Callithrix jacchus: one gene and its partners. The protein of the gene in region 1 interacts with the protein of each later gene in a pairwise test. Links are inferred from orthologs where the notes say so. Each region holds a gene or a part of one and is shown in the gene's direction. Other genes may lie near its edges. The genes, in order: NEIL2, REL and MEOX1.

Evidence for each region.
Region 2: the proteins of NEIL2 (region 1) and REL interact in binary tests that used the Homo sapiens proteins (3 or more experiments, as listed by UniProt). The two-hybrid records come from large-scale screens. The link is inferred for Callithrix jacchus from reciprocal best matches to the Homo sapiens genes NEIL2 and REL.
Region 3: the proteins of NEIL2 (region 1) and MEOX1 interact in binary tests that used the Homo sapiens proteins (3 or more experiments, as listed by UniProt). The two-hybrid records come from large-scale screens. The link is inferred for Callithrix jacchus from reciprocal best matches to the Homo sapiens genes NEIL2 and MEOX1.

What each region holds. Positions count from the first base shown.
Region 1 is NC_133514.1:10,278,898-10,286,508, reverse strand, and holds part of NEIL2 (endonuclease 8-like 2), read left to right. Parts: coding exon 1-299; intron 300-3,454; coding exon 3,455-3,651; intron 3,652-6,775; coding exon 6,776-7,086; 3' UTR 7,087-7,611. UniProt on the Homo sapiens protein: Involved in base excision repair of DNA damaged by oxidation or by mutagenic agents. Has DNA glycosylase activity towards 5-hydroxyuracil and other oxidized derivatives of cytosine with a preference for mismatched double-stranded DNA (DNA bubbles).
Region 2 is NC_133515.1:53,210,102-53,218,039, reverse strand, and holds part of REL (proto-oncogene c-Rel), read left to right. Parts: intron 1-177; coding exon 178-318; intron 319-1,573; coding exon 1,574-1,678; intron 1,679-1,776; coding exon 1,777-1,989; intron 1,990-3,687; coding exon 3,688-3,756; intron 3,757-4,206; coding exon 4,207-4,275; intron 4,276-5,383; coding exon 5,384-6,162; 3' UTR 6,163-7,938. UniProt on the Homo sapiens protein: Proto-oncogene that may play a role in differentiation and lymphopoiesis.
Region 3 is NC_133506.1:70,535,554-70,543,591, reverse strand, and holds the start of MEOX1 (homeobox protein MOX-1), read left to right. Parts: upstream 1-4,002; 5' UTR 4,003-4,032; coding exon 4,033-4,501; intron 4,502-8,038. UniProt on the Homo sapiens protein: Mesodermal transcription factor that plays a key role in somitogenesis and is specifically required for sclerotome development. Required for maintenance of the sclerotome polarity and formation of the cranio-cervical joints.

The sequences.
Region 1 (7,611 bases):
CCTGGCAACAGCCCACCACCAGAGCCTCCACAAAAAGATGCGCAGAAGGAAGGGGCTGCAGACCCAAGGCAGGCCCAGGAGCCCTGCGGGCAGAAGACCTCCGATGGATCATCACGGTCCGCAGAGCTGGTCCCCCAGGGAGAGGGTGACTCGCAGTGTTTGGCAGGAGCCGCCCCTGCAGGAGGTGCTGGGAGGTGGCTATGTGTCTGTTTTGGTTTGTTTGGCAGCATTTGGGTGAACGAGTTCTCCAGAGCCAAGAAAGCCAACAAGAGGGGTGACTGGAGGGACCCTGCCCCCAGGTAAGGGTGTGGCCATCTGATTCTCATGGGCTCTGATAGTCATGGGTCCCTGCTTGGCAGGGTTTGGGACTTGGGCAGCGGGGACACACTGAGGACATCCCATCTGCTCCCCAGGACTCTGCCGTCTTGGGGAGAGAGACCACCTCTGTGTCTACCAGTGATAGGAAGTGGACTGTGGTCTGGCCAGGAGAGGGTGGCACAACCAGCGGTGGCTGGGAGAAGGGTAGACCTTTCCCAGCGAATGTGGCACTTGAGGGGGAACGTCCCCGAAGAACATTTCATTGCCTGACTAGTGTGCTTTGAGTTTACGGACAGGATTTCCCAGTTATTTTTTTTTTTAAGTATATTGCTTGTGTGTGTGTGTTTTATTGAGATATAATTAACATACAGTAGGATGCAGATCTTAAGTGTCCAGTTTGATGAGTTTTTTTGTTTCTTTTTTGAGATAGAGTCTTGCTCTGTTGCCCAGGTTGGAGTGCAGTGGCGCAATCTCGCCCCATTGAAACTTCTGCCTCCCAGATTCAAGCAATTTTCCTGCCTTAGCTTCCTGAGGAGCTGGGGCTATAGGCGCACACCACTACACCGGCTAAGTTTTGTATTTTTAGTAGAGACAGGGTTTCACCATGTTGGCCAGGGTGGTCTCATGGACCAGCCTCAAGTGAATTCTCATGGAACTCATGGCCTCAAGTGATCCACCTGCCTCTGCCTCTCAAAGTGCTCGGAATGCAGGCATGAGCCACCGTGCCCACCCCAGTTTTGAATGTATGAATGTTGAAATCAACATTTTCTGCATAATACTCTATCTAGGATTAGGATTATGTCCTTCATGTCAATTCCCATTGGAGTAATTGCTGGTCAAAGGGAATGCACGTTCTTAGGGCTGCACATTTTTATGGCCTTAGGAAGTGCTAGCTGAGCTGAAATCTCATGAACGTTAAGTCGTTTGTGTACTTCTTATCAATGTATTGAAGCTTTTGGACAGAAAGTCTTTGTCTTTCTGCCGTGTGTTGCCAATATTGTTTCAAGTCTATCCTTTGTCCTTTCACTGTGCTTAGGATGCCTCTTGGCATTTGGGATTTTAAATTTTTATGTTGTCAGTGGTGGGTGTTTTTCCTGGTTGCTCGTAGGTTTCCCTTTTTGCTAAAAAAAGGCCCTTTCTGCCCCCAGGGAAAACCACGTGACTTCTATTTTCTGACGTTTCATAATTTTTAAAAATGTTTAGAACTGTAGTCTGTCTTTTTTTTTTTTTTGAGATGGAGTCTTGTTCTGTCACGAGGCTGGAGTGCAGTGGCGTCATCTCGGCTCCCTGCAACCTCCACCTCCCAGGTTCAAGTGATTCTCCTACCTCAACCTCCCGAGTAACTGGACTACAGGTGCATGCTACCACATCTAGCTAATTTTTGTATTTTTAGTAGAGACGGGTTTTCACCATGTTGGCCAGGATGGTCTCAATCTCTTGACCTCGTGATCTGCCCACCTTGGCTGGGATTACAGACAGGCGTGAGCCACCGCCTGGCCAGAACTGTAGGTAGTCTTTATTTGTGGCACGATGTAAATACCATAGGATGCTATGGGCTATAAAAATAACTCGGAGTAGTGTCTGTGGTCAGGAGATTTGGGGCTCCCATGACCGGAAGTTCAGAAGGAGGGTGGGCTTTGGGATTGCGGTTCCAAGGTTCTGGCTTCATATTCTTAGGATTCTCCTGGCTTTGCGCTTTCCATGCAGTGGTTTTGTCCTTAGCTGAGCAGCAATAGGCTACGGCAGCTCCAAGATTTTATCCACACCAAAAAATCCAGAATGAGAAGGTCACTTGTAGAAGTTCAGATGAGGAAACTTTTCTCAGAACCCCCAGGAAGCCTCTCATCATCAGGAGCCTGCTCTTTGCTGAGTCCTGGGTTAGTCGCCAGTTGGAGGCATTGAAATGCACTCCACGAAGCAGGCTCACGCCTGGGTTTTCAGATATATTGCCACAGAGTGAATGTGTATCATGCCTTTATTTTTAAATCTCTTTTTACCTGGTTATGTCTCTTTTCTCATTTGCATGTTTTGTATTTATTTTGCTTTGTCTCTTTTTTCTTTAATAGGCTGGTCTTTGAAATAAATAATATTAGCTTGCAGGCGTAGTGACTCATGTCTGTAATCCCAGCACTTTGGGAGGCTGAGGCAGGAGGATCACTTGAGCCTAGGAGTAAGAGACCAGCCTGGGCAACATAGTGAGACCCTGTTTCTACTAAAAATAAAAATAAAAAGATTAGCCAGGTGTGGTGGTACATACCTCTAGTCCCAGCTACTTGGGAGGCTGAAGTGGGAGGATAGTTTGAGCCAGAGAGGTTGAGACTGCAATGAGCTGTGATTGTGCCACTACACTCCAGCCTGGGCAACGAGCAACACCCTATCTCAAAAAAAATCTAAATAAATAAATAAAATTATATATCTCTTCTCTATGGAAAGGGTACATGGAGTATTTGGAGAACTGAAAATACTAGGTTGGGTGTGGTTGGCTTACGCCTGTAATCTCAGCCTTTGGGAGGTGGAGGAGGGTTGATCACCTGAGGTCAGGAGTTCAAGACCAGCCTGGCCAACATGAAATACCATCTCTACTAAAAGTACAAAAAATTAGTCAGGTGTGGTGGTGCACACCTGCAATCCTAGCTACTTGGGAGGATGAGACAGGGGAATCACTTGAACCTGGGAGGCACAGGTTGCAGTGAGCTGAGATCGAGCTGCTGCACTCCAGCCTGGGCGACAAGAACAAAATGACATCTCAAAAAGAAAATATTATAAGTAAAAAACGATGCATTTAATATGCCTAGCCTACCAAACATCATGGCATGGCCTAACTTACCTTATTTGTGCTCAGAACAATTACATTAGCCTACAGTTGGCAAATCATCTAACACAAAGCGTGTTTTATAAAATGTTGAATATCTCATATAATTTATTGAGTACTGTACTGAAAGTAAAAGAATGGTTTTATAGGTACTCAGAGTGTGGCTTTTACTGAGTGTGCACTGGTTTTGTACCGTTATAAAGTCAGAAATTAAAAGTGAACCGCTGTAAGTCAGGGCTGTCTGTGTGTATGATCCGACCACAGAGCGTGCTCTCAATGTAGCGTGGTAATGACGTGTACCTAACACCTATTCTTTCTTCCCAGGTTGGTCCTGCACTTCGGTGGTGGCGGCTTCCTAGCATTTTATAATTGTCAGATGTCCTGGAGCTCTTCCCCAGCGGTCACACCCACCTGTGACATCCTGTCTGAGAAGTTCCATCGAGGACAAGCCTTGGAAGCTCTAGGCCAGGCTCAGCCTGTCTGCTATACACTGTTGGACCAGAAACACTTCTCAGGGCTAGGTATGACTGATGGGAAAGGGGTGAGCCCACAGAGTTGCTCAAGGCAAAGTCGTTCCTGTGGGAGTCACAAGACCTGAGACCCGCCCCACTCGTGCCAGTGCTGTTGGCCTTGAGGGGGCCACTTGCTTAATCTTCATTTTACTTCCCTTGTTTTTAAACTGAGGGCATTAGATCAGGCAGTTTTTAACTTCTCTCGGCTTCAGAGTCCACACTCTAATTGTGTTATCAGTTATGAGCCTTCTGCCAGCAACACGGGAGCATCCCCTCCGAAAGGGCAGGGTCATGTCCCTATCCGCTCCGCTGCACAGCAGCGCCTGGCCCACAGGAGGTGGCTGAGCCATGTCGGTGGGGACTGAAGTCGTACAGGCTCTAGCAGAGGAATGAGTGTGTGTTCTACGGGGTGCTGCCATGGGTGGATGGAGCCTCCCCCGGTCAGGGCACAGAGATGACTCAGTCTACATTAGGCTCTTACAGGACACGAGGGAAGGAGCAGTTTTCCTCTCTGTGGCAGTGGCCTGAGCAGGGACGTTGTGTGCATTTCGAGTTATGGAGAAGCGCTGAGTAATCCCAGAACATACATGTAACGGCTAATTAGCTGGACTATGAGAGCGTGCCACTCCTTTTTTTTTTTCCTTTGAGACAGAGTCTTGCTCTGTCACTCAGGCTAGAGCACCTTGGCTCCAGTTGAGGTTGGATTCTCCTGCCTCAGCTCCCTAGTAGCTGGGATTACAGGCATGTGCCACCACGCCCGGATAATTTTGTATTTTTAGTAGAGATGGGGTTTTACCATGTTGGTCAGGCTGGTCTTGAACTCCTGGCCTCGTGATCCACCCTCCTCAGTCTCCCAAAGTGATAGGATTATAGGTGTGAGCCACCATACCCAGCCCTGAGAATGTGCCATTCTTCTTACCCACAGCAGGGGAATAATTGTGCCCAAAATAGGCTGCTGAGGCAATTAGGTGAGTTGGTGGTGACAGTCACCTCCATATCCAAGGTGTGACTTTGCTGTCAGCTCTCCTCCCCTCCCCTCACAAGGGTCGGAGGAGGCCTGGTGCTGCACCAGGCACTAGCCTTGCATTTTCATGTTAGAACCATGGGTGTCCCTGTGCCCTCAGGAGCAAAGAGGCATCCGGAGGTGGCTTTTCGGATATATATGGCAAGAGCTAACAACAGTAACAGGAGTAATACGGCCAGTGTGTTCCAAGCAGCTCTGATGCACCAGGCACACGTTTTTGTCCTTACTGCCGTTCCATAGAATAGTTATAGTGGTTTTTCCTTTCTTCAGATGAGGAAACTGAAGCAAAGAACACATTGCTAGTCAGTAGCAAGGCTGAGACGTGAGGTCGGGTATTCTGTCAGTGAATTCTGGAGACAATGATGTGTGTAATGGGGAGTATGACTGACGCTTTTGGAAAGCAGGAATTTCCTTCACCTGCTCAAGAATTTCCTTAACGCGAGGCACAGCGACACTCACTCGGGCTCTGTCACACTCACCACCTCTTCCTACAGAGGTCATTGTTGAATGGCTCAGCAAGCAGGGACTCAGGTCACTGTGGGTTAGGAAAGATTGTGATGAATGCCTGGTGGAGCTTAGAGTCCTGTTGGAACATTCCAGAGAGAGTTACTGATTCTGAAAAGAGGGATGGAGGCTGGCTTCACAGAGAATGAGGCAGGAGTAGAGAAATGATAAGAGGATACCTCCCCAAACACTTCCTAACATAGCACACATCACGCTCGAGATTTCATTTTATTTTTTGAGACCGGGTCTCTCTCTGTCATCCAGGCTGGAGTGCAGTGGCACAATCACAACCCACTGCAGCCTCAACCTCCCTGTTTCAAGCGATCCTCCCACCTCAGCCTCCTGAGTAGCTGGGAGTACAGGTGCATGATACCACACCTTGCTAATTAAAATTTTTTTTTTTTTGTAGAGGCAAGGTCTCGCTATGTTGCCTAGGCTGGTCCTGATCTCGTGGGCTCAAGTCATCCTCCTGCCTCTGCCTCCTAAAGTGCTGGGATTACAGGTGTGAGCCACTGTGCCCAGCTATGCTGGACATTTTGTTTTTAATTTAAAAAAAGAATTTTATTGGGCCAGGCGCGGTGGCTCACGCCTTTAATCCCAGCACTTTGGGAGGTGGGCCGATCACGAGGTCAAGAGATCGAGACCATCCTGGCCAACATGGTGAAACCCTGTCTCTACTAAAAATACAAAAATTAGCTGGGTGTGGTGGCACACGCCTATGGTCCCAGCTCCTCGGGAGGCTGAGGCAGAAGAATCACTTGAACCCTGGAGGCGGAGGTTGCAGTGAGCCAAGATTGTGCCACTGCACTCCAGCCTGGCGACAGAGCAAGACTCCATCTCAAAAAAAAAAATTTTTTTTCAGACAGAGTCTTGCCCTTTCACCCAGGCTGGAGTGCAGTGGCACAATCTCAGGTTACTGCAACCTCCGCCTCCCGGGTTCAAGCGAGTCTCGTGGGTCAGCTACCAGAGTAGCTGGGATTAGAGGCACGTGCTACCATGCCTGGCTGATCTTTGTATTTGGGGTAGAAATGGGGTTTCACCGTGTTGTCCAGTCTGGACAGCTGGACTCCTGGCATCACGTGATTCACCCACCTCTGCCTCCCAAAGTGCTGGGATTATAGGCATGAGCCACTGCGCCCGGCCAACCATTTTAAAATGATAATAACAGTTAATATTTATTGAGTACTCTACATCCCAGCCACTGTACTCAGCATTTTTTAGTGAATTCTCATTTACTGCTCACAAGAACCAGGTAAGCCATCCTTGCCTTACAGATAAGGAAACTACAGCTGATCAAGGCTGGGGAGCTTGCCATGTCACATGGGTAGGAGCTGCTTGAGCTGGGATTCAAGTGCAGGCAGTCAGATGCCCGAGCCCTCTTTGATAACCTGTGTGCCATGATGGGCCACGCATGACTTTCATTTCATCTCCACAGCAACCATAAAGGTTGAAATTGTCCCCATTTTACAGACAGGGAAATGGAGGCGGATATCACTTACCCGCCCAAGGTCCTGCAGGATGTGGGAGAGCTGAATTCTGCCTTGTGAGCTTTGTGGGTGGTTTTGTCACTTTCTTCTTCCCTCACCCTCCCCTGCTGTCTTTCAGGGAACATCATTAAGAATGAAGTCTTGTATAGAGCTGGGATTCATCCCCTCTCTCTTGGCTCCGTCCTGAGCGCCTCGCAACGGGAGGCCCTGGTGGACGGCGTGGTGGAGTTCAGTGCAGCCTGGCTGCAGGACAAGCTTCAGGGCCACCCGCAGCACACGCAGGTCTACCAGAAGGAATGGTGCCCTGCTGGCCACCAGCTCTTGAAGGAAGCGTTTGGACCCCCAGGTGGGTTCCAAAGGCTCACCTGGTGGTGCCCACAGTGCCAGCCCCAGTTGTCCGAGGAGCTGGAGCAGCGCCAGTTCTCCTAAGGAACTTGGGGTGCTCGTCATGGAACCTTGCCCCTTGGGGAACCTGACGTCTAAGTATCCAGAAAGGGGAGGATATGGGCAGAGACAGGGTGCAGAGGATAGTGTGGGTCAGGGGTGCCAGTATGACAATATTCCGGAGTTATGTTGAAGGCAGAGTTTTCATAGGGTTCGATTTCTTCTTCTTTTTCTAGTTCAGTTAATTCTTCCTATTGAATTGCACCATTGTGAAAGATGAGAAAAATCATGATGGTTGGTAAGGGGAAAGCTCCCGAAGGCAGTGGGGCAAGGAAAGAGCCCATGGGAAATAGCTGTGCTCCCTACATGGCTTTGCAGATGATGTGGGGATTTTTCAGTTTTTGTTTTGTGATGGGTCTCGCTCTGTCTCCCCAGCTCGGCTCACTGAAGCCTTGCCCTCCTAGACTCAGGCGGTCCCCACCTCAGCCTCCACAGTAGCTGGGACTACAGGCATGTGCCGGGATGTCCGGCTGATTTCTGTTTACCTTTTGTAGAGATGGGGTCTTGCCA
Region 2 (7,938 bases), on another chromosome or scaffold:
AATTTTTGTATTTTTAATAGAGACGTTTCACCATGTTGGCCAGGATGGTCTCGATCTCTTGATCTCGTGATCTGCCCGCCTCGGCCTCCCAAAGATCTGGGATTACAGGCTTGAGCCACTGTGTCCCAACTATTTTACATTCTTAAAAAAAATTCTTTTTTTTTTAAAACTATTCAGTGCCTGAAAAACAGCTGATTGATATTGAAGATTGTGATCTCAATGTGGTGAGATTATGTTTTCAAGTTTTCCTCCCTGATGAACATGGTAATTTGACAACTGCTCTTCCTCCTGTTGTCTCGAACCCAATTTATGACAACCGTAAGTACTTCATTTTCTTGTATTTGTAGTCTTAACTTGTTTTTTATAATAGTTTAATTCTTAAAAGTATTTTGGTAATTAGAAAAACAATATATTTATGATAGGAAAACTTCCAGACGTTACAGAAATATTATAACAGAGAGTAAATCTCTAATCTCATCCTCCAGAGATAATCACTATGCTTAGGTGCATATTTTACCAGTTTCTTGTTCCTATGTACACACAAATACACTGTCATCATCATTTTTGACATAGTTACAATTTTGGCAACTTAAAAAAAATCATAAGTGATAATTGTTTTAAAAACTAACTTTCATCTTACCATCTATCTTGAACATTTTCCTTTCAGTCACCTTATTTGTTTCAGTAGCAGCATATTTCATTATATAGTTATATCATAATTTTATTAATTACCCTCTTACAAGACATTCATTTTGTTTCTTTTCTCATTTTTTATTTTTTCACTAACTGTACTGCAATACATATTCTTGTATATGGTTTTTTTAGGGGCTTTTTTAGTTTTGTTTTGTTTTTGCAGTGTAGGGTCTTGCTTTGTCACTCAGGCTGGAGTGCAGTGTGCAGTCATGGCTCGCTCACTGCATGGCAAATGCTGGATCAAAGGATATGGATATATCTAATTTTAGAAGATTATGAAACTTCCCCCCAAAATGCTGTGTGTGTGTGTGTGTGTGTGTATGTGTATGTGTATGCGTGTGTGTGTATGTACATAGGCATCTCTATATACATCCACCAATGGTGTATGGCTATACCTGTTGTACATGTAGGGTAGTGAGACATAGGTCTATAAAGGTAGATTAGAGTATCCTTAATATGTAGAGCTTTAAATGCCAGGGATAATTATTATAATCTTACAGCCAGATAGTAGGAAGCATGAAAGTTGTATTGCCATAAGGAGATGTATTGCCATAGGGAAAATTGTGTTGCTGTAGGGATATGGCCATGATTTATAAAGATTAATCTGGTGACAATTGTGTAGGATTGATTGGCAGAATCAGAATTTAGAAGCAGGGAGCTATAATTAGAGAATGTGTCATTACCTAGAAATGAAGTCACAAGTCTAAAGTAAAGCAGTTAGAAAGGAAGTGGACAAATATAGATGATTAGTGTATTTAGTGTCCTTTATTTATACACTAAAACTTTTATTCTGTGAATGGTTTTCCTCAAATTCTTCCCTTCAAAAAGAAATAAAATATTATGTAGCAACTCATTTTTTTTTTAAATCCTTTATATTTAGGTGCTCCAAATACTGCAGAATTAAGGATTTGTCGTGTAAACAAGAATTGTGGAAGTGTCAGAGGAGGAGATGAAATATTTCTACTTTGTGACAAAGTTCAGAAAGGTATTTATTTATTTCGTTGAATTTAGAATAAAATTTAGATTAATAGATGCAGTTACTTTGTTTTCCCATTGTTATTTCTTTTGTTTCTTATTTACTAGATGACATAGAAGTTCGTTTTGTGTTGAATGATTGGGAAGCAAAAGGCATCTTTTCACAAGCTGATGTACACCGTCAAGTAGCCATTGTTTTTAAAACCCCACCGTATTGCAAAGCTATCACAGAACCTGTAACAGTAAAAATGCAGTTGCGGAGACCTTCTGACCAGGAAGTTAGTGAATCTATGGATTTTAGATATCTGCCAGATGAAAAGGGTATGACATTATGCTGGTAATAATTTATATATTTCTTAAAGTGGTCCTGCTAATAACATCTTGTAAGATTCATTTAAATACAGCTATGTATATTCATAATTTGTGTTTCTTTTCCTGGAAACTTTCCGTTGGGTTTTTTTCTTTATGCTCTTTGCATCTCATTTGTTGTTTTTTTTTTTTTTTTTGGTTTTGTTTTTTTGAGACTGAGTCTTACTCTATCACCCAGGCTAGAGTGCAGTGGTGCAATCTCAGCTCACTGTAACCTCCGCCTCCCGAGTTCAAGCAGTTCTGCCTCAGCCTCCCAATTAGCTGGCACTATAAGCACGCACCACCACCCCCAGCTACTTTCGTGTTTTTATTAGAGATGGGGTTTCACCATGTTAGCCAGGCTGGTCTCTGCGTTTCTTTCTTAAGAAAGAGGTTTGGGCCAAGCTCGGTGGTTCACGTCTGTAATCCTAGCACTTTGGGAGGCCAAGGTGGGCGGATCACAAGGTCAAGAGATGGAGACCACCCTGGCCAAAATAGTGAAACCTTGTCTCTACCAAAAATAGAAAAATTAGCTGGGCATGGTGGCACGCACCTATAGTCCCAGCTATTTGGGAGGCTGAGGCAGGATATTTGCTTGAACCTGGGAAAAAGAGGTTTCAGTGAGCCGAGATCATGCCACTGCACTCCAGCCTGGCGACACAGCAAGACTCTGTCTCAAAAATAAAAAAAGAGGTTTGATTAGTATGGAATAATTTCAAAGTATCTAAACTGCTTATTAAAATTTCTATTGTATTTTTGAAGGTCTATTTTTGTCCTTGTGCACTTACCACTCAGAGAGTAGTCTCTATATTGACTTCTTATCCAACCTTATTGTATTAGTTCACATTATTGACTTGTGTGATAAGAAAACAAGATGAATATTTTAAACTGTTTGTTTTGGTTTGTTTTGAGACAGGGTCTCACTCTGTCACTCAAGCTGGAGTGCAGTGGCATGATCATGGCTCACCAGAGCTTCAACCTCCTGGGCTCAGGTGATTGATCATCCCACCTCATCCTCTCTGGAGTACCAGGACTACAGGTGTGCACCACCACACCAGGCTAATTTTTGTGGGTTTTGTTTGTTGGTTTGAAATGGAGTCTTGCTCTATCTTCACCAGGCTGGAGCGTAGTGGTATGATTTCGGCTCACTGCAGCCTCTGCCTCCCGATTTAAGCGATTCTCCTGTCTCAGCCTCCTGAGTAGCTGGGACTACAGGCATGTGCCACCACACCCAACTAATTTTGTATTTTTAGTAGAGACAGAATTTCACCATGTTGGCCAAGCTGGTCTCAAACTCCTGACCTCAGGTGATCCACCCTCTTTGGCCTCCCAGAGTGCTGGGATTACAGGCATAAGCCACTGTGCACAGCCAGTTTTTGTATTTTTTGTGGAGACAGGGTTTTGCCATGTTGCCCAGGCTGTCCTCAAACTCCTGGGCTCAAGTGATCCACCTGCCTCTCGAAGTGCTGGGATTACTTTAAACAATTTTTTACCAAGAGAAAAATATCCTTTACTACTGATAGTACTGATTTGGGACATATTCTATAATACTTATTAAATCCAAATTATATACATATTTATTGAAAACATTTTCTATATGTGAATAAAATACTTGTTTATTAGTGGAGAGTTTAATTTTTTACCTGCTTTTTTTGGTTTCTTTCTAATCAGATACTTACGGCAATAAATCAAAGAAACAAAAGACAACTCTGCTTTTTCAGAAATTGTGGCAGGATCATGGTAAGAATATTTTTGATTGATTCATATTTAAATAGGTTTTGTTTTATTTGCTTTATTCAGGTTTTCAATTTTTACTTTTGTTTTGTTTTTGTTTAGTAGAGACAGGGCCTGTCTTTCAGCCAGGATGGAGTGCGGTGGGGCAATCTCAGCTCACTGCAACCTCCACCTCCCAGGTTCAGCAATTCTCCTACCTCAGCCTCCTAATTAGCTGGGATTACAGGCATGTGCCATCACACCTGGCTAATTTTTAGTATTTTTATTAGAGGCGGGGTTTCCCCATGTTGGCCAGGCTAGTCTCAAACTCCTGACCTCACGTGATCCACCACCTTGGCCTCCAAAAGTGCTGGGATTATAGGCAGAAGCCACCACCTCTGGCTGGTTTTTCAAATTTTAACTGATAGTGTTATTTTTCAAATTATATTTAATAATGGAAAAACTTTATCCTAACAGTTAATTTTCCTGAGAGACCAAGACCTGGTCCCCTTGGATCAATAGGAGAAGGAAGATACATCAAAAAAGGTATTTTATTTCCTATAGCATATTTCTTGTGATTAGAAAGACCAGAGCTTGGCACAATGTATTGGAACTCTGTATTTAGGAATGAATAACTACTTTTTTGAAAATTTTCTCTCCTTCAGATTTTTCTTGGTTTCAGTATAGAATGAATTGAACATGGCTTCTGAAGGTTGTGTTAGAAACAGATTGTGTTTTTGGGATTTATTTTTCAAGAAATAACATGTGTTTTATACAGTAGCAATTTTATTAATTATATCATGTTATGGAAAAAATGTTATTGATTTGGTTAGTTACCAATTTTTATAAATACAATTTTACTGGAACATGGCTATGAATATTTGATTAAATACTGTCTCTAAACTGCCTTTTTAACACCATGGCAACAGAGTTGAAAAGTTCCAACAGAGGCTGTATATAGCTCACAGAGCCTAAAATATTTACTATCTGACTTTTTACAAGAAAAAAAATTGCCAATCCCTAGTTTAGATAATTTGACCAAGGGCTAACGGGCTAATTAGAAGTCCTTTCTACCCCCTTACATTCTTAAATCAGTGCTTTTTCCTGGTTTAGGTTGTCAAGCATTTGTATAATATGTAAATAAATACAGAATTAATTTTTTCTGACTGTGAATTTTATAGTCTGTTAGGATTGTGTCATAATATATCTTAAAAGTTGTGTATTTTCTTATTATCCCTAATGGGTGTTTTCTCCATCCTTCCATTTTCTCCTAAAAGTGGAGAGTAAGAGATGATTTTGGCTGTTTGGAGTCCCATTAATTAAAATTCTCATATTTATCTTCCAGTTTTCAAAAATACATTTATAGAGCCTCAGAAACTAGATTTTCATTTAACTGGAGTGAAAGTACATATGCCAGAGTAATTTGCCAAAATCATTTTTCCTGTATTTGTAAACGGTATATGTTACAGAATTTCATTTTGGATTTGTGTAATAATTTTAGTGCTTTTTACATTTTTTATTTGAAATGTTACATTGGTTTCCTTGACATTTTTTTGTGTATTTATTTGTGTTCATATGCAATTTTAATTTAGAAATAATACTTTTTCTAATTTTGTTTATTTTAATTTTGTAAAATAAATTTTTCCTCCCACAGAACCAAACTTGTTTTCTCATGGTGCAGTTGCGACAGAAATGTCCAGACCTACAGGGATTTCAAATCAAGGAGAATCCTACTATCTCTCACTTGGGCACATCTCAAGTGGATTGTCACGTCATGCCTCAATGCCACCTCCGCCTTCTTCAAGCTGGTCATCAGTGGCCCACCCCACCTCACGCTTAGTCAATACAAATCCACTGAGCAGTTTTTCAACAGGGACACTTCCTTCTAATTCACAAGGTATCCCACCATTCCTGGGAATACCTGTTGAGAATGATTTAAATGTTTCTAATGCTTGCATTTATAACAATGCTGACGACATAGTCGGAATGGAAGCGTCATCCATGCCACCAGCCGATTTATATGGTATTTCTGATCCCAACATGCTGTCAAATTGTTCTGTGAATATGATGACCACCAGCAATGATAGCATGGGAGAGACTGATAATCCAAGACTTCTGAGCATGAATCTTGAAAACCCCTCATGTAATTCAGTGTTAGACCCAAGAGACTTGAGACAGCTCCACCAGATGTCCTCTTCCAATATGTCAGCAGGTGCCAATTCCAATACTGCTGTTTTTGTTTCACAATCAGATGCATTTGAGGGATCTGACTTCAATTGTGCAGATAACAGCATGATGAATGAGTCAGGACCATCAAACAGTACCAATCCAGACAGTCATAGTTTTGTTCAAGGTAGTCAGTATTCAGGTATTGGCAGTATGCAAAATGAGCAGTTGAGTGACTCCTTTCCATATGAATTTTTTCAAGTATAACTTGCAAGATTTAAATCATTTTAAGTCTTGGTATCACCTGTGTAGGTGCAGCATTTTGTATTTGTCTGACTGGGAATATAGTACTGTATTTGAGAATATAAAAAAAACTTTTTTCAGGGAAGAAGCATGCAACTTTGGACGTAGTGAACACAAAATTGGAAGCTGTCATAGAAAGACAACTCAGAGGCTGGGCATAGGAACTTACACCTGTAATACTAGCACTTTGGGAGGCCTAGGCGGCTGGATCACTTGAGGCCAGGAGTTCAAGCCCAGCCTGGCCAACATGGTGAAACCCCGTCTCTACTAAAAATGCAAAAATTAGGTGGGCATGGTGGTGCACACCTGCACTCCCAGCTACCTGGGAGGCTGAGGCACAAGAATTGCTTGGACCCAGGAGGCGGAGGTTGCAGTGAGCTGAGATCTCACTACTGCACTCCAGCCTGAGTGACAGAGTAAGACTCCATCTCAAAAAAAATGCTTTTATGCTTTTTTATATTTCTTTTTATAATGTTTTAATGTATTCTTAAATTTCAAGTAAATTTAAGATAAAACTTGTAATGGCTATGCCATTGAAAAACTTAATTTCTTATTTTTGAGGCCCATGGGCCAAGGTAACCCCTAAGGGGTTTTCTTAGGCTTCTTGGAGTTTCTTAGGTTTGTATGTGTATCAAAATGTCTTTAGTGTTACGTTGGGCAGAAGTGAGCTTTTAAGGTATGGGAGGTTTTCTACATTTTATACTATTTCAATCTATGCCTTTAAAGTTACTTATACTTTTAGCTTTACACTCATATTTTTTAAGGGGAAAAAGTTTCCTTGGACCATTCTCCTTAAATGTCCTCACTCCTTGTGATCTCATAAAACTGCCTATTTGATATCTCTATCTAGAAATTGAATTAAAGCTCACACTCACCATATCCAAAACTGAATTCTTGGTCTTCCCTCCCAAACTTGCTTCTCCTTCAGTCTTCCCCAACTCAGTAAATGGCAATGCCATGCTTCTAGTTGCTCAGGCCAAAAATCCTGGAGTCATCCTTTGTTCTTCTTTTAGCTCCCATATCCAATCCATTAGCAAATCTAGTAGACCCTACCTTCACAACGTAGCTAAAGCTGACCCCGTCTTTTGACCTCTGCTATTAACACCCTTTTCCAAGCCACCATTTCTTCCCTGGATTGAAGGTATCATCTACAAAACTTCTCCTTATATCCTTGAATCCCTACAGTCTGTTTAAATTAGCCAGAGTGATTATTTTAAAAATAAGTCAATTCATTCCATTCATCTGCTCAAAACCATCCAGTGGCTTCTTATCTTAGAGCAGTCAAAGTCCTTAAAAGTAGCAGGCCTAGACTCCCTGTCCTACCTCAGGTTCTGCCATTTCATCCTTATACAGCTCCAGGCACCTTGACCTCAGTGCTCCCCTTCAAAGCATCAAGTATGCACCTGCCCTGGACCCTGGTACTTGGTATTCCCTCTCCCTTGAATGTTCTCTCACAGAAAAATGCATAGTTCATTCTTTTACATCCTTCAGGTGTTGCTCCACTGTTACCTGAGCAAGGTCTTCCTTGACTCTATATGCATCAGCATTCTCTGTCCCCCCTGCTTTATGTATGTCCATAGCACTTACCATGATCTGACCTTACTAAGCATTTATTTGTTTATTGTTTGTTTTCCTATACCGGAATATAAGCTTTCTAAGGACAGCAATTTTTGTGCTTTATTGTTGAATCTCCAATTTGTAGGAAAATGCCTGCCTTATATTAAACACTCAGTAAATATT
Region 3 (8,038 bases), on another chromosome or scaffold:
CTGGCCAGGCCCAACCCTGCTTAGCTTCTGAGATCAGGCACAGTCAGGGTAGTATGGCTGTAGACTGGCTCTGCCTAGTTGAGCACAGAGGTGTGGCTGTTCGTCACATGCATCACCCTAATAGCCAGATGTTCTAAGATGCAGTTCATTTATCCTCCTCACTGCCACGTGAGGCCAGAACTGTCAACTCCACTTTGCTAGTGAGAAAAATGAGGCTCAGAGAAGGGCTTCGATTTGCCTGAGGCCACACAGCCCATACATAACAGGCAAGGTCACACCTTGAACTGGTGTCTTCTGCCTCCAGGTCCAGGGTCCTTCCCCGACACCCTGTCTCTCCAGACTCAGGTGGGTGGGGTGGCCGCGAACAGAAGCCGCCCTGTCCTGCCAAGTACACGCCTGCCTGCTGCACACAGTGGGGGAAATTGCACAAGTTCCTTGGGATGGCTCAGGTGTGGCCAGGCTGCAAGCCCTCCCGGGGGCCTCCTCCTGACTCACACTTTTCCTCTTCCTCCCCTCATTCTGCACCACAGCTGCCAGAGACCAGGTTCCCTCCCTTCCTGAAAACAGGGCTCTCCTGGCACATCCGCAGGGCTTCTCTCTGTTCTGAAGTGGAGTCTGGCTCTGTTGCCCGAGCTGGAGTGCAGTGGTGCAATCTTGGCTCACTGCAACCTCCGCCTCCTGGGTTCAAGAGATTCTCCTCCTGCATGGCTGGGACTACAGGTGTGCACTATTGTGCCTAGTTAATTTTTGTATTATTAGTAGAGGCAGGGTTTCACCATGTTGGCCAGGATGGTCTCGATCTCTTGACCTCGTGATCCGCCCACCTCGGCCTCCCAAAGTGCTGGGATTACAGGCGTGAGACACTGCACCCGGCCCACAGGGCTTTTTCTACACACAGTCCCTTCCATCCATCTCTGTCTCTGGCCCTGCGGGGCCTTGACAGGGAAATGCTGACTTTGAGGAGGTGAAAGGTGCTGGTGCCCGGCCTTCATCTAACAAATGGGTTGTGTGAGGGGAGGAACTCTTGTTGTTTTTTCCTGATCTCAGAAGAGGGGCCTGTCAGGAAGATGTAGGGGCCAGGAGGCCCCCGGCTGCGCCCTGCAAGGTGGCTGACAGACGCCAGCAGCTGCCGGGGGCTCTGGGGTGCCCAGGCCCTGTGTTCTCAGGGCAGAGCACCCACCGCGCCCCCTCCCGTGGCCCTCCTGACCTCCCCACCCACCCCACCATGACACAGGGCCCACTCTGTCCAGGGGCAAAGGGCCAGGCGCTGGGCCTCCCTGCCATGAGGTCCCTGGGCCAGATGCAGAGGCGGAGCGGGAATCCGGTTACAGCCTGTGGCTGGCCCAGGGGAAGGTTTTCCTAGGGAAGCTGACAGACCAGATCTTCCTCCCAGCCTCCCACGGATTCCTTCCAGAACCCCCACAGCACAGAGTGCCCCCCCCACAGGACCGCACAAGGCTGTTTCTGTAGAATTTCCTCAGAATTCCCCATTCTCAGATTTACCCTTTGGGATCTTCGAGGTTAACCACAAATAAATGTGCTAGGAAGGAAGCTATGTTTGTCCATTACCTACTCTGCTCTTTGCATAAAGGATTTCATTGAAATTTACAAATGTCTGTGGGCTGGGCTGCCTGGATTTGAATCCTGGGTCCGTCCTCAACTTCCCTGCTATGTGACCTTGTGCAGATTACACAGTCTCTCTGCATCGGAGTCCTCTGCTGAAAAACGGAGCTGATGAGAATGACTCTTGCCTCCGAAAGCTTTCATGGGAATTCATGGAGGTAAAAGTGTCTAAGATGCAAAGTGCCTTAGACAGATCCCATTCTGACTGTCATCTCAGATGAGTAAACAGAAATTCAGAGAGGTAAGTGACTTGTTCCAGGGCACACCGCCAGGAAGTGGAAGACCTGAGGTTTGAACTCAGACCTTTCTAACCTCAAACCCCATGTTTCTTCCTCTGCATCTGACCTGCTCCAGACTGAAGAGCAGGACCCCTGAGCCCAAGTGCTGGTTCCACCTTTTCTTTGGTATGTGAGTCTGGGCAGTCCAGTCAACCTTCTGAGCCTCAGTTTTGTCATCTGCAAAATGGAGATGTAATTCTTGCTTTACCCATCCTAGGAAAGTTATGAGGCTCAGAGAATTGTGTGTGCCACAGCTAAGCCCTTGGCAAAGCAGAGGGATGAGTCTGGTTGGCAGCTATGACTCCATCCCCTCTACTGGTCTACAACACCCTGACCGCTTGTTCCAGAAGAGAGTATGTCTTGTCATATGAACGTCCCTCCTCATCTTTTACAGCTGTTCTTGCTCCCGGGATGTGTATCTGACTGGAGTTTCTGGATTAAAGACAAGTCTCGGCTTTATTTCACATCCCTGGGTGCCTTTCCGCTCTTCCTAGGGGCATCTTCTGCACCTACTCCCCCAGGGCCCCATCTCCACGCCGCAGAGCTAAGACCCAGGGGCCCCTCCTCAGGGAGCCCCTGTTGTCTTTGGAAGCAGCCAGCAGAGATGCTGCTGTGAGGTCCATGCCTGGTTCTGCCCCCATCCTGCTGCTCTGGACCACGTACATCACCCGTGGGAAGGAGTTCTGGGCCCTGGGTGTTAGGAATGTCATCCTCCAAGAAATTGCATTAACCCTGTGAGAGACCAGCAGGGCACAGCCATGAGAAAAACTGATTGGGCATCGAGATGGCACTTGGGCTGGCTGCCCTGCGATGTGCACCAGCCCGGAGACCCACGTGCCTGCTTGCCAAAGAGGCACCTTTGGGGAACAAGGAGCCCCTGATTCCTATCTCCCAGCCCCAGATTCCTCAGAAGCCTCTGCCTCTGGAGGTTGAGAAAGGGAAACAGGTGGGTGGAGGTGAAGGGGGCAGGGAGCAGGTGGGAGGAGACTCGAAGAAACTTCATGGACCTTATTTAAGAATCTTGCCACTGCCATGAAGAAAAATGACTTGAAATCTCTCTAGAGAAGAGTGTGGCTAATTGGCATGTAAGTTGGAGGTTAAAGAGCGGAAGGAAGAATCTGATTGTTTTTTTAAGTTACTGAGAAAGTGAGAATGCCACTCTGGGCAGAGAGAAATTCTTTTTTTTTTTCTAGCCTTTCTTTATTCTAGAGACCATAGTGGGCCGCTGAGACTTGCAAAAAAGATTTCTTTTAATCTACCTTCCTTTTTCGCAGGCAGAAGGGCGTTTAAACCAAACGCATTCACCAAGCTTCCTCTTGCACTTATTCCTCGCTTTGCTCCCTGGAATTTGGCATTTGATGGATTCTGGATCTGACTTAAGGCTTTTTCTAAATCCAAGACTTGGGGAATTTCGTTAACAGTGCAATAAAAATAACTTCATAATGTTATGGGAGGGACATTAAAGACGGGGCGTGTGTGTATATGTGTGTGTGTGTGTGCGCGCGCGCGCGTGTGCACGCTACTCTCTTTCCTTAAAATAAAAAAAAATACAATGTTTCTTTAAAAGTCTCCATCTGCAAATCCCATTAGATGTGCATATAAGGTTTCTGATGATTAATAGTTGCCTGCTAGCGTTTTGGTTGGAGGGGATCTTTGTGTGCGGGTTAACCCCTCCCTCTCCTCTCTCACATTTCACTTCAGAAATTTGTCACTCTCTCCCCACCGCAGGATTTAAAAGTGTGTCCCAGCAGCCCTGGTCCGGCCCTCTGCAGGCATTTGCTCCGGGCTCCAGGACAAGCTCCTCATCAGCTGGTGCGTCTGGGTTGGGACAGTGAAAATGTTTAGTGTCATTGGCGACAAATACACGTACAGGGGACCCCAGTAGGCAGGCTGGTGCATCGGAGGGGCAGGAGGAAGCCCGACATAGGTGTGTGCACACGCATAGGAGTATCTGGCCACATGTGTGTGTCCTTTAAAGAGAGACTTTGGTTTAGGTTTTTGTTTTCGGTCCTGGGGTAAATTTTCTGCTAAACATTTTTCCCTATTTTTTTCTTTTGCATTTAAAAAAAACTGAACGTAAAAAGTATAGAGTCAAATCTTTGAAAGGACTGAGGCGTGCCGCGGACAGCAGATGGATCCCGTGGCCAGCAGCTGCATGAGGAGCCTCCAGCCCCCAGCCCCTGTCTGGGGCTGCCTTCGAAACCCCCACTCAGAAGGCAATGGGGCCTCAGGGCTACCCCACTACCCGCCAACCCCGTTCTCCTTCCACCAGAAACCAGACTTCCCAGCGACAGCGACGGCAGCATACCCCGACTTCTCGGCCTCCTGCCTGGCGGCCACCCCACACAGCCTGCCCCAGGAGGAGCACATCTTCACTGAGCAGCACCCCGCTTTCCCACAGTCCCCCAACTGGCACTTCCCTGTCTCAGAGGCCCGGCGCAGGCCCAACTCAAGCCCGGCAGGGGGTTCCAAGGAAATGGGGACCAGCAGCCTGGGCCTGGTGGACACCACAGGAGGCCCAGGCGAGGACTATGGGGTGCTTGGGAGCACTGCCAATGAGACAGAGAAGAAGTCATCCAGGCGGAGAAAGGAGAGTTCAGGTAGGTGGCTCAGGAGCTGCTGATCGTTCCTTTACTGTGTGACCTTGGGGAGATTACTCACCCTCTCTGTGCCTAGGTGCTCTCACCATGAATTTCTGTCTAGCCTATCTAAATGCAGGAGACTAGTGGTTTCTTTCACTGAGAGTTCTAGGATTCTCTGGTGATGGGGACAGTGTCTGTGTCCCAGCACTCCTGGGCCCCAGAAAACATGTCCCAGCAAGACAATGAAAAAGGATCAGCAAGGATTTGGAGGACATGTGAAATGGATCCTCTGGATGCAGACTGATGGGACTGGTGAGGGGCTTTCCTGAATCAGGCTGCTGTTGAGTCATATTCCTCCCCACCACGCTCTGGCCAGCCCCAAGTGGTCCTAGAGCCACAGGCCTCACTTACCAAGGAAGTCAGCTGAGACTGAGGCTCTGGGAGCTAAGACTGAAGCTGGGACCCTGGGTGGCCACCCAAAGCCAGGACTCTATGTGTCCAGGAGCCTAGAGGCAGAGAAGTAGGCCTGGGATTGGGATGGGAGAGTGAAGGGGTGAGCAGGGGATGGAGGGCTGAGGTTTGGGGCAGACTGCCTACCAGGTATTACCCTGCAGAGTTGGGCTATGCCCAGGCCCAGGGGACAGCTCAGCATGCTGAGATCGGGCTGACCCCCTCCCAGGAACGCAGCCCCTCAAGGAGCCTCGAGGGATGGGCAGCCTGCGAGAGTCAGGGAGGCAGACAGCCGAGGGAATCCATGCTGGAGTCCCAGTGACTGGAGGGTGAGGTTAGCCTGTTTGTTAAGAGCCTAGCTAAAGCCCTTCTCTTCCCCGGGGTGGGGATCTGCTGCTTCCTCACCTCCCCACCAGGCCCTCCCTGGCTTCTCACACTGCCTGTTCACCTTTTGTCTGATTCTTTGTCCTGACCTTATTCAGAACATGGTAGTGCCCAGGCCTCCTGCCTGTGCTGCCCGGTGTCCTCCTGACAGCCACCCTCGGGGGCACACTTATCTGTCGGAGCCTGTAGAGGACCTTCCCGTGGGGCTAACCAGGGCAGGCCAGAAAAGGAGGGCACCAATTAGCAAGCAGGAATGCTCTGGGTTTCTTTACAAAGCACTTTCGATGCAGCACAGCTTTCCCGAGTTTCTGCTCTTAGCCAAGCCCCAGGAATGCTAAGGTGAATGAAGGGGTCTCACCCAAAAAAGCACAAACTGAGAGGAAGAATCGTCCTGCAGAGGCCTCTCTGCAGCGGGATGTGCCCTGATGGGGAGGTTCTAGGTGCAGTTGGATACCGACGCTAGCCCTTCTGAGTTTTATTCGTATACGAATCAAGCAGGTTTTATTCGTATCTTGACTGTCTCAGTGTGCAAAATGAGAGACTGGAAGTTTGTGAGAACACAGAAAGATTGGGGTCAAAAAAGAGTGAGCAGCTTATCTCCATTTGCCTAGAACTTTTCCAGTTTGAGCACTGAAAATCCTGTGTCCTGGGAAACCCCGCAGTCCCAGGCAAACAGGACAATCGGTCACCCTAGAAGTGCGTTCGAACCTCAGGCTTCAGACCTGATATCAACCCTTCTGCAGATTTGAAATGCTCACTTTGAAATGATCTTTGGTCCTCCTGCTTGAAGAAGCCCCTCAGTGAGCTCACAATGGGTGATAGGAACCCACCACTAAACAGCGGGGCCTTTTGAACCTCCAGCCAGTTAGATCCCCATCCCAAAAATGAACTCATCCTACCCCTGGCAGGAAATGTGCCTAGGAGGCGCAGGAACTCAGCTGTAATCTGGGTTGAAGAGCTTTCCCCTTGGTGGCGGCGCCTGCCACTTTCCAGGGTACTGGGAGCCAAGGGCAGTGAGAAGGGATAGCAAAGCCAAGAGGCTGCTGGGCACAGGCGGAGACTTCCGGCATTCTGAGTCTCAGCAAAATCTAAGTGCACCAGCTGTCCTCTCGGCAAGTGGCCGACAGCCCTGCAATGCAGGGAGAGCATTCACGCCAAGCAGCTGGCCGCCCAGGAATACAGGGACACCCTCTGCCGAACGGCCTGCACACTTTGGGGTCAGACTCCAGTGGAGGGAGGTTCCCATCCACAGGGGCCCTGGGCTTCCCTAGGGGTCCCCTCAGGAGCAGCAGCAGCAGCTGAGGCAGGGTCCAGCGAGCCGACTCTCACTCATCGCCGTGATTCCAAACAAACTTGCTGTTCAACATGGAAATCTTTATTGCCCAGTTGCTTGAGTCCTCTTTTGGGATTTAACTGAAGGGGAGGAAGGATGAAAGAAAGATGAGCTTTGTAAGAGCCTAAAGAAGCGGGAAAGTGGCCAGCCGCAGTGGCTCATACCTGTAATCCCAGCACTTTGGGAGGCTGAGGCAGGCGGATCACTTGGAGGTTGGGAGTTTGAGACCAGCCTAGCCAACAGGGAGAAACCCCGTCTCTGTTAAAAATACAAAAATTAGCTGGGCATGTTGGTGCATGCCTGTAATTCCAGCTATTATTCAGGAGGCTGAGGCAGGAGAATCACTTGAACCCGGGAGGCAGAGTTTGCAGTGAGCCAAGATCGTGCCATTGCACTTCAGCCTGGGTGACAAGAGCGAAACTCTCTCTCAAAAAAGAAAATAAATAAATAAAAAGAAGGGGAAAGTGACGAGCTAAGCTCATAACCTACTCCAGGAGTCTGGAATTGAGCTCAGAAAAGGCAAACCCCACAAAGAACCCTCCCCCTCCCGACCCTGCCAGTCCTGAGTCTGTGATTGGATCATCTCTCTAAAATTGTGATTTTTTTTCATCATCAATTTTTTGCATTAATTTTTGTTTTTAAAAATATTGCCTTAAAATATTATTGATCTTGATTACAAAGGATTTGGGCGTGCCCTCTCATTTGGGGCTCCCCAAGTCTGGGTTGAGTGGTCTCTGGAAGGTTAACCAGCATTGATCAGAAACGTGTTTTCCGTAGCTCTTCCTGGTCAGACAGGCTGCAGTGTCAGCACTGCAGCTTTTGGCTGCATGACTTTGGAAAAGTTCTTAACTTCTTCCAGCCTCTGTTCGCCTAGCTGTAAAATGGGAATACAGCAGTAGCACCTTCCATAGAGAGTCTCTGTGAAGGTTAGATGCAGTGATCCATGAGATTAACTCTGTGCCTGGCACATAGTAAGAGTTCAATAAACAGTAGCTATGAATGGTATCAGGCCCATATTTCCTGCAACCGCCATCAGAATATAAGATCTGACAAATATTTCTATATTTATGGAGATGGTGGAATTGAATATTTCAGTTGTGCTGTCTTAGAAATTCCTGAGTCTGGGGAACTTCTGGCAATCATTTTGGTCCCGTTGTTATCAGTGTGGATCGTGGAGCTCAGAGACCTGCTGGAGAGGGTGTGGGTGACTTGGGCCTGGCAAATGCACCCCTTTTGGAGTGGCTGAGAAGCCTCCAAAATTGAAAGTTTGTTGCAAGAGGAACATTCTCTGCTCTCCCTCCTCCCTCACTCCTGTGGAATCTGGAGCAGACCCACTCAAAGAAATGATCAAGAAAGCAGGGTTGGCCAGGCACCGTGGCTCACATCTG